Linked DNA regions of Cricetulus griseus. The protein of the gene in region 3 purifies or fractionates together with the protein of the main gene of each other region. This does not show direct contact. Links are inferred from orthologs where the notes say so. Each region holds a gene or a part of one and is shown on either strand. Other genes may lie near its edges. The genes, in order: Myl6b, Diaph1 and Iqgap1.

The links.
Region 1: the proteins of Iqgap1 (region 3) and Myl6b purify together in Homo sapiens (affinity purification with mass spectrometry; 3 studies listed by BioGRID and IntAct, with this or other methods). This does not show direct contact. The link is inferred for Cricetulus griseus from reciprocal best matches to the Homo sapiens genes IQGAP1 and MYL6B.
Region 2: the proteins of Iqgap1 (region 3) and Diaph1 purify together in Homo sapiens (affinity purification with western blotting; 3 studies listed by BioGRID and IntAct, with this or other methods). This does not show direct contact. The link is inferred for Cricetulus griseus from reciprocal best matches to the Homo sapiens genes IQGAP1 and DIAPH1.

What each region holds. Positions count from the first base shown.
Region 1 is NW_023276806.1:129,401,193-129,403,968, forward strand, and holds the end of Myl6b (myosin light chain 6B), read left to right. Parts: intron 1-166; exon of another isoform or gene 167-266; intron 267-1,206; coding exon 1,207-1,380; intron 1,381-1,766; coding exon 1,767-1,844; intron 1,845-1,954; coding exon 1,955-1,983; 3' UTR 1,984-2,240; downstream 2,241-2,776. Other genes in the region: Myl6 (myosin light polypeptide 6), read left to right, coding at 2,576-2,578, 2,775-2,776. UniProt on the Homo sapiens protein: Regulatory light chain of myosin. Does not bind calcium.
Region 2 is NC_048595.1:199,706,869-199,710,620, reverse strand, and holds the start of Diaph1 (protein diaphanous homolog 1), read right to left. Parts: upstream 2,299-3,752; coding exon 2,182-2,298; intron 1-2,181. UniProt on the Homo sapiens protein: Actin nucleation and elongation factor required for the assembly of F-actin structures, such as actin cables and stress fibers. Binds to the barbed end of the actin filament and slows down actin polymerization and depolymerization.
Region 3 is NC_048596.1:116,873,706-116,877,357, forward strand, and holds part of Iqgap1 (ras GTPase-activating-like protein IQGAP1), read left to right. Parts: intron 1-195; coding exon 196-298; intron 299-895; coding exon 896-1,031; intron 1,032-1,352; coding exon 1,353-1,440; intron 1,441-3,134; coding exon 3,135-3,347; intron 3,348-3,652. UniProt on the Homo sapiens protein: Plays a crucial role in regulating the dynamics and assembly of the actin cytoskeleton.

The DNA.
Region 1 (2,776 bases), on a different chromosome or scaffold from region 3:
AGGGTTTCTCTGTGGCTTTGGAGACTGTCCTGGAACTAGCTCTTGTAGACCAGGCTGGTCTCGAACTCAGAGAGATCCGCCTGCCTCTGCCTCCTGAGTGCTGGGATTAAAGGTGTGAGCCACCAACGCCCAGCTCCGCTTGGCCTTTTCTTCCTTTTTTTTTTTTTTTAATATGGAACACTTCACAAATTCGTGTGTCATCCTTGTGCTGGGATCATGCTAATCTTGGCATTGTTCCCATTTTAGTAGATGTGCTGCTGAAGCACAACTGAGCTCCATTTCCAGCCTGTAACTTTCTTCGCGCCTCCCCACAACAAGGGTCTCAGTATGCTAGCCAAGAATGACCTTAAATTCCGATCCTCTACCTCCTGACTACTTCTGCCTACCACAGAGTGCTGGGATCACTCCAGTTTGTGTGGTGCTGGAGTGGAATCTGGTGCCTGTGGAAGACGGGCAAGCCCTTTATTGCTGAGCCTTGCTCTTTTACTCTCTGAGACACTCACTAAGTTTCTTGGGGGACAGCCTTGACTTCACTCTGGCATCTGCTGCCCTTGAACCTACAGCTCTATCCTAGCAGCTCTAACAACGTTGGCTGTCCTGGGACTCAATACATAGACCAGGCTGGCCTCAAACTCACAGACATCTGCCGGCCTCTGCCTCTGACTGCTGGGACTGAAGATGTGAGCCACCACTCATGGCTTAGCAGTTTTCTCTGTCTCGAATGTGTCATTACCACTTCACTACATCCCCAGCGCTTCCTTTTTTATTTTCCTGTTGAGATGAAGTCTTACTAAATTGTTCTGGCTGGCCTTAAATCTGCCTGGCTGTTATGCCTCACTGCAGTATCAGTTTTCCATGACAGAATATTGGTAAGGTGATGAAGGATGCTGGGATGGACCTCAGAACTTCAAAAGCTGTTGAACACAGGGCAGGAAAACATCCTGAATGCTGAAGGGATAAAAAATCACTATGGCAGGAATGGATGCAACTGGACCCTACATCTCAATGACCTCACTTTTTTTTTTTTTTTTTTTTTTTTTTTTTTTGAGACAGGGTTTCTCTGTGTAGTTATGGAGTCTTTCCTGGAACTCTTTAGACCAGGCTGGCCTTGAACTCACAGGGATCCGCCTGCCTCTGCCTCCGGAGTGCTGGGATTAAAGGCATGCGCCACCACTGCCTGGCCTCTCACCTCTTTTTAATCTCCAGAGCTCAAGTCCCGACGTGTGGACTTTGAGACGTTCCTGCCCATGCTCCAAGCAGTAGCCAAGAACCGGGACCAAGGCACATATGAGGACTACCTAGAGGGGCTTCGCGTGTTTGACAAAGAGGGCAATGGCAAAGTCATGGGAGCAGAGCTCAGACATGTTCTTACCACTCTCGGTGAGGCAGGGACCAGAACTGTGGGATGGAGAAGGGGGTGGGACCACAACGCCTGGAATGGGAGTGCAGTCCTGCAATCATGGGCAGGGACTTAGGGGGACTGAGTTGAGGAGGCAGAATTCTGAGGGGCTCGCTCATCCAGAGGCTACAGTGTCCAGCAAGGAGCAGAGAAGAGGGAATGAGGTTGGCAGCCTCATGTCCCCTTTTGCAAGCCAGACTTGTGCTGATTCCCTGCAAGTTTCAACTCTTGCTTTTGTTTCGTGGTCTGTCAAAGCTTTCACCAGTTGCAAGGCAAGGCTGATGTGGGCCACATGGAGAGAAAAGGGCAGGGTGGGAGGGGGGCTCGGGCTAGTGAGGCAGGAGCTCTAACTGTGTTTGGGGTTCAGGAGAGAAGATGACTGAGGAGGAGGTGGAGACTGTCCTAGCAGGCCACGAGGACAGCAATGGCTGCATCAACTATGAGGGTGAGGGGGCACGAGCAGACCTTTGTGTGGGTGGGTGCACCCTCGGTTACCTAAAGTTCCACGGATTGCCCTTCAGTCAGTCTCAAGTCCTCTCGCCTCCTCCCGTGCAGCCTTCCTGAAGCACATCCTAAGCCTGTGAGCTCCACAGGTAGTCCTCCAGCCCCTAGTGTCGCCCTGAGAGGAAAGGCTCCTCGACCAACCAGATAGACGACCAGGCAGTGCGATTTCCCGTCGGTCCGTCCGTCCGCAGCGCGAGCGCCGGGGCTGGACAACTTTCTCCTCCCCAAGCAGTCCAGCGGGGTCGGATGCTGGATCGCCCCACCTTCCGGGCGGCCGGAGGCGCGTTCCTGCCACTAGGCGGCCCTTAGAGCTTTGAAATAAAGACCTGGCTCCTGCTTTGGTCTCCGACTGTTTTCTGTGGAGGAAGGGGAGGGAGGGAGGTGGGTTAGTCCTGTCTTCGGCCAAAAAGCCCAGATTCGCTGCTCTTTGCGCAGCTCGGAAGAGTGGCATCCAGCGAGTCGCAGCCCCGCGGCGGTTTCTGAACCGAGGGCGGGGCCGCTCGCCGCGTTACTAATGTAGTGGCGTCATCGACATGGGCCCCGACTAGCATCCCTATTGGACGGAGCGGCAGACGGTGACGTCATACGCCCTGGGACGTGCTAAGGCTAGGGCTGGGTCGGGAGTCGGAGCCATTACTGCCGGAGAAAGTCCCGCAGAGCTGAGCGGCCAAGATGGTGGGTCCCGGGCATCGGGAGCTTAGGGGGCTGTGGGGAGAGGAGGGGAGCCCGTGGGTGGGTGCGGGCAAGCTCGGACGCGGGGGTGGGAGGCCTAGGGCTCCCTCTGCCTCAGCTGCAAAAACGGGAGTTGTGGTTCAGTTTGTAAGGCCGGGATAGACTTGAGGTGCTCACCAACCCCTTCTTCTCCGAGCAGTG
Region 2 (3,752 bases), on a different chromosome or scaffold from region 3:
GTTCAAGAAAACTGAGCCCTGGGTGACAAAAGCACCCCAGCAATCTCACCCACTCCACCCACTCACACACACTTATATATACAGAGACAAAGAGAAGTGGATTGCAATGCTCCTTGTCTCTCATTTTCATAGTTCTCATAAAAAGCAGTAAGAATATCCTGATGCCTTAAGGTAGATTATATTTAGCAATTAGGATGTGAAGAAGCCTGCTTCCCTGGAAACCTTCCAATCCTCACTACTTGCAATACCCAGTTCTTAAAATTCAGTAATGTAAGGGTTAAAACCAGAACCTCAGTAAAAGAGAAGTAGGTTCAGCTCCACCCTCTATAAAGCAAATTATCAACAACTCTGGGCCAAATCCACTCAGCGAACACAAAACTGTGCCAAAAAAACAGGTGGAAAGAAGTTGAGGTTCCTGGGATTTCTCACCTAACCACACACACCAGTAGATTTCACCAATTTTATGAGACACGGTATTAGAAAAAATAAAAAAGCACACATGAAACTTTAAAAAGAAACAGTAATAAGAGGTCACTACAAATCAGCAAAAATAGCCAGTATGGACGAAGGTCAAACAGTATCCATGGTAACAAAATCAAAACAAAAAGACACGGAAATAGAATACAGGCCCTAAAACTTACATTTTGGAAGGAAAGTTCTCAAACTGGAGGGTCAATTCCTACCTTTAAAGAAAGAACCTAAGGATATATTGCTGTGGTCACCTAGGATCCTATTTCTACAAAGGTATTTGCCAGATCAAACAGTTACTGACACCCTGTATGTCACTAGAAAGGACAGAACAGGAGCACCTGGTCTTGCCAGAAATAGGAAGAGATGAGTCAGTCACTCTTTTAATTCAACCCTCCAGGTCACAAAACATATTCTTCCCACTTCCATCACTTCATCAGTTTAATTCCCAAACTCGGGGACTTGGATCAGAATGCTGGGGGTGGGGGTGCGTGAAAGAAAGCAAGAGTTAAGAAGAATTCAAGCCATTTAGCTTCAGAGATTACTGGTGCTACCTGGAAGAGCAAACTAAGTATCTAGTTATTAACTGGCAACAACTGAGCAGAAACTCCCTTTTTGACTGCTCAGTATCTTTCAAAGTTTTTACAGGAAGAAGCAAAGTAGCTCCCTGGAGACAGAAGAGGATTTAGTTAGGAAAGGCAACAGGTAGTAAAATACCGCGTTACATGAACCTCGAAAGTCCCAATAACCGGCACCTAAGGAAAGATACATACTCTCCTACAGATAGGAAAGGGGATGTCAGGAACCTAGAGACACAGAAGATGGCCAAAGGCGAGTTAAGGAGATGGTTGTTATTTTTTAAAAGTATAAAAAGCAAATTACTCACAAACTTATTGGACTTGAAGTCTAACTCGTTCAAGAGGGAGATTAATCATCATCTCGGGTCATGAAGGGCATAGTATCGTGAAAAAAAGTTCTAAACCTCTGAAGTGATAAGCAACAGGGCAGTAAGAAACAGGTTTGTGGATAGGGAAATACTGGGAAGTCATATACTGCCATGCCCCAGTGACCACAGGACCTGGGCAGAACCCGTAATCACAAGGACAAACGTCCAAAGGAGGAGGGAAGACAGGACTCAAGTCAGGTAACATTCCTGCGGGGAAGCATTACCAGGTGACACCGGGCTGAGAGCCCTGGAAGGGGACAGGGCGGGAGGAAAGTTAGCAGGTGAAAGGGATCACTAGTAAGGAAGGAAATGACCTTTTAGAAGAAAGGGAATAACCCAAACGGGGTGTGAGTGAGAAGAGAAAATGGACCCAAAACAGCTTACAGGGAATCAAAAAGAAAAAAAAAAAAAGAAAAGAAATTTAGAGAAAAAAAAAAAGATGTGTGGGGGTACTAGAGGCAGAAGAAAGGAAGTGAGGCTGCGAGCCCGCGGGCCACGGGGGCGGGAGCGCAGAGCCGGCGGACTCCAGAGCGAGGGAAGCTCCAAGGTGGCCGAGGCGAGGGCCAGGTGGGACTCCCGGGCTTCCCGAGGTCCGGGAGGAGGAGAATGTGGGACCGCGAAGCCCAGGATTCAGCGAAACCAGGAAGAGAGGCGCGGGGGCGGCTCCCCAGCGGCAGGCAGACGCCCCCGGAGGGCAGCGAGGGTCGCCCGAGTTCAGAGGGCGGCCACCCCGCCAGGCTGAGGAGCAGGGTGGGAGGGACACTCACAAATTTCTTGGGTTTGCCGCCGTCGCCGCCCGTCGCGGGCAGCTCATCCGGGCTCCGACCCTTCTTCTTGTCCCGGGTCCCGCGGCCGGGCCCCAGGCCCCCGCCGGACGGCTCCATGTTCTGGTTAGCTCCGGCCAGGGACCCCTGGTCTACGCCACTCGCGCCCGGCTAGCCCGAGCCAGCAACCACCGCCGCCGCCCAGCAGCCTTCTTAGCCGGCCGCCGCGCCCCGCCTCATTAACATGCTGGGCTGCGCGCGCCTCATGAATATACAACGGTGACGCCTCGCTCCCGCCCGCCTGCCCCACTTCCGCCCGGACCCGCAGCCCCTACCAATGGGGCAGGGGAGGGGGGTGGAGGGACGCCGCGGAAGCGCGCTACCTGCCCGGCGGGCCTAACCATTCGGACCCACGTGGAGGGGGGGACGGAGAGTGGGCGGTGCTGCTCTTCCACACCGCAGCGGGGAGTGCTGCCCCCTGGCGGTTGGAACAGAGGAAGCCTTTGGGCTCCCACGCAGAGCTAGACCACCTCACACCCCAGGCCGAATTTCATTGTCTGAACCAAGACTCTTATCGTAGGAACACTGTTATTTTGGTTGAAAATTTAAGGCTAAGTTTTGTGGGATAATGCAACTTGTATGTATATGACACCAAGCAGTAAGTGCATTAAAAAATAATGTAAAAAATGAGTTACTTGATATAGAAACTATGTGCCAAGAACTGAGTTCAAGCCAGCGCCAATCTAGACCAGCTATGGAGTTACAATACTCAGCATTGAATCCTAGATTAGCTTTCTAGTTGTTTATGTAGACAGACTAATTATTGCCAATAGCCTAAGCAGCAATTAAATAGTTACTACATACCCAGCACAAACTATAGGACAGGTTATATGTTAAACATAACATCTTTCCTCACTGATTCCTCACAATTTCATGATAGACTCTACTGGTATCACCATTTAAGAAATTTGCACTCTGGACATTGAAGTGACTTGTAACATAATTGATAGAAAATTTACACACAGATTAATCTGACAGCCACACCATATTTTTAACCAAGATTCCCCCACAGGCATAAACCAAACGTGCCTGCATGAGTTCTCTGGTTATGGTCTTTACATGATCTCTCTCATTCTCCTGGCTATATCTACCTGACATGGCATCTTTAGAGAGGGACTGACTACCCCTTAAGAGTAAAGAAAAGGATTTCAAGTGTATATTCCCGAGTGTTGGGCCCCAGCCCCCATGGGGTCTCTGTGAGTTGCTTGTCAGCCAATAACCACAGGTACATCCTGTTTTCTAGTCCTGGCCTTGCCCTACTGGCATCAACCACACCTGGGAAAACATGAGCTCTTACACCTTGGGTTCTTCCACTGTGCTGTACATCTGTATATAAGGCTGTTCCCTCCCTGTAATAAAGAGACACACACACACATTCTCTTAGCACAAACGACTAGACATCTTGTCTTTCATTTAAATCTCCAGGCTTTTGGCTGATAATTTGACTTGCTGGTGGTGCAGGAGCCACACCTAACGACAGGTTCAGTAACTTTTTGAAATCTCCAGATCTTAGA
Region 3 (3,652 bases):
ATTCCCTGGTGTTTTACAATGTACACTGTTCCATGAAGTCCAGTGTGCTGCCTGGTCCCTTGTGCTGTTTACTAGGTTAGCTTGTTTGTGCTTCGGATGTGGTGGCTTTGTTGTTCAGCCCCTTTTGTGAAGATACCTGTTGGCCTTGCGGGTGGAGATGGAGGGATGCAGGTCAGTCACTGGATCTCTTTACAGCTCCTGTTGGACCATCAGGACGCCATTGCTCCAGAGCACAACGACCCCATCCACGAGCTGCTGGATGACCTTGGCGAGGTGCCCACCATCGAGTCCCTGATAGGTAATGTTCTTAATGAGCCTCTGAAAAGCTGAGAGGGGACCGCATCAGGGGATTTAGTATCATTGTCTCTCTGATCTTGCGCCATATCAGAGTCTAGATACACAGTGGGGAACAAAACTAATATAGGCCCCACCTTATGAGCACCTGAGTCCAGTGAAATAGCAGATACTTTTAAATACAGAGACAAAAGTAATACAGATAATCAGAAAGTAAGTCTTATAGTTAGATTGTTGACAATTTTTTGAGACAGGGTCTCACTTTGTAGTCCTGTCTAGCTTGGAACTCGATAAGACCAGGCTGGCTTCACACTCCCAAAGATCTACCTCTCTTGGCCTCCTGAAGGCTGGGATTAGAGGTGTGCACCACCGTGCCCAGTGAAACGAGTTTTTCACACTTTTATGAAGTTACTGTGTTATGGACCCTTCTCCTCAACCATTTGCCTCAGTTTCCTTTACTTCTCAGTAACAACTGCTCATCACACTGAAGGGCATTGGTTTATCAAGAGTCATACTGACCTGCATTGTATTTATTTGAATTATTTTCCCTCCAAAGTGTTTTTTTATTACATTGACTCTTTCTACACTTCAAAAACTGCAGGGGAAAGTTGTGGCAATTTAAATGACCCCAACAAGGAGGCACTGGCTAAGACAGAAGTATCTCTCACGTTGACCAACAAGTTTGATGTGCCTGGTGACGAGAATGCAGAGATGGATGCTCGGGCCATCTTACTGAAGTGAGTATTGAAAGGGAGAAGGAAGCGGCTTAGAATCCAGTTCACCTGGAACAACCATCCTGGCCTCTCTTGCCCGTCACAGTGCTCATCACCCTGCATCGTGCTTGGCACAGGACTTACTTTGCTAACATACAATTACAGTCTTGGAACTCCTCCCCTGTACCACCTGCTATAGTTCCCTTGCTCCTTGTGCCAGTAACTGTCCCTCTGGGTGCTGTAGCAAGGCGCTGTGGGGTGACGATGCTTCAGATACTGCTCAGATCCTATGACAAGGAGGTAGAACACACAGCCATGTTCAAACCCATTCCCATCTCATTGCAGCACAAAACGTTTAATTGTGGATGTCATCCGGTTCCAGCCAGGAGACACCTTGACTGAAATCCTGGAGACACCAGCCACCAGTGAACAGGTACACATGAAGGTTTCACACTGGATAAGCTTTTCTATGATAGGTGCATCCCTGGGTGGGGATAGGGGCACAGGGAAGGGATTGGACCCTTGGGTGAGCATGGATCTGGCTATGGAACAGTAGTAAACAGGGCTCATCTGACTGAGAAAGTTGGTGGCTCCTAAATCCAGAAGGTGTTCTTAGGATGAAACATGAGATAGAGAATACAGGATAGATGAGAATTTAATCTGGGACAGAACATGTTGTCTATGTAGTAATTTAATGACTGTCTTATAGTTGTAATTATATGAAGTACCTTGGTTGTGTCTATAAAAGTACAGGGTGTGGCTCCAAACTTTAAGGTCCATTTAGAAAAATTATGATACATGCATCTGAAACCATAAGACCATTAGAAATTAGCTATAGTATTGATTATAAAAATGCCAGGGAACTGGAGACATGGCTTAGTGGTTAAGAGCACTGATTATTCTTCCAGAGGACTCGGTTCAGTTCCCAGCACCCACATGGCAGTTCACAACTGTCTGTAACTCCAAGATCTGACACCCTCACACAGGAATATATGCAGGCAGAACACCAATGCACATAAAACAAAAGTCAAAAAAGATTCCAGAAGTTTCTGGCTATGGTGGGCATGCCTTTGATCCCAAAGATATCTGTGATTTCAAGGCCTGCCTGGTCAACATAGCTAGTTCCAGGCCAGCCAGTGAGACTCTATCTCAAAATAAACAGAAACACAACAACAACAACAAAAAACCCCACAGTTTTTGAGGTGGAGGCCAGTGAGGAACAGTGTATCAGGAAGTCACAACAAAAGAAACAGAACCCAAGCCACACTTAAAGACTGGGAGGATCTGGGTGTGATGGAAAACAAAAGAGCAAATTCTGGGGAAGAGAGCCCACAGGAATAATGGGACCAAGGAGGGAAGAACACAGTGAGATCTGGGGTGAAGATGGGCGGGGTAGTTATGAGAAAAGCAAAGCTGAGGGTGGAATTATCTAAAACTCTAGAGCTCAGACTGGGGTGAGGAGATGGTGATGACAGCCATGGATGATAGCCGTGGATGCCAAAGTCAGAAAAGACGATGAAGTTGTTACAGAATGATCAGTTGGGCTTGGCAGTACTCAATCTCTGCTCAGTTGAGGCAGGAAGATTACCAAGTTCAAGGCCAGCCTGGGCTATCTGGCAAGACCTTGTCTTGGTTGTTTTTTCTTAAAAAGTAAGGGAAAGGGTAAGGAAAGACAGCAGAGTCTAAGGAAGGTTCCTTGATATGACAGTATTTGCAGTGTGCTTGGGAGCAGAGGGCAGCAGGAGCCTGCTCCAGCTCAGGCAGTGTGTCAGGAGCATTAGCAAGATTTCACTGGGCACTGCTATTGGTGTTAATTTGTGTAGTTATGAGCCACATTTTGACTTCAACATCCTAAATTAAGCTGGGAAAAGGTAAAGGATTTCTTAGCTCATAGAATCTAGTTTTCTGGCTACACCTAGTATCAAGAAAGCACAGCATCTGGATTCACAGTTGTACTTTGCTAGGTGAAATGAGGTATCTCACTTTGATGCTGTTCCTTGTCTGGTAGAGAGAAGACATTTACAGCAGACTTGGAGAACTCTGTATTCAATTGCAGATATGCTGTGAGTCCAGGTTTAGGGCTCCTGTGGTGAACTTACCAAAAAGTATTTTTCTTTTCATCTGTAGGAAGCCGAACATCAGAGGGCCATGCAGAGACGGGCTATCCGGGACGCCAAAACCCCCGACAAGATGAAAAAGACAAAACCTGTGAAGGAGGATAACAACCTCAGCCTTCAGGAGAAGAAAGAGAAAATTCAGACTGGCCTAAAGAAGCTAACAGAGCTTGGGACCGTGGACCCAAAGAACAAATACCAGGAACTCATCAACGACATTGCCAAGGTACTGCATGTGGGAACAGTGGTGGCCCGGCCTTGTTTACAGCCGCATCAGGAGCTCATGAACAGACAGTAGCCACTCAGGCCACAGCATAGCTTCTCGTATGCAGAATAGTACAGTCTGACTCTGACATCAGGACTTCAGTAGAGCTTCCAGTGTCTTGAGTTTTTCATTGCCTTTAAAGAATCCTTCAGGGCTTTTTCATAATTGCTATGGAATATATAAAGTTGGTAAAGTTTGTGTGAATCACCCAAACCAGGGTTCTAATTTCACTGGGATAATGCTGTTTGCACCGAGGAACCTGGTTT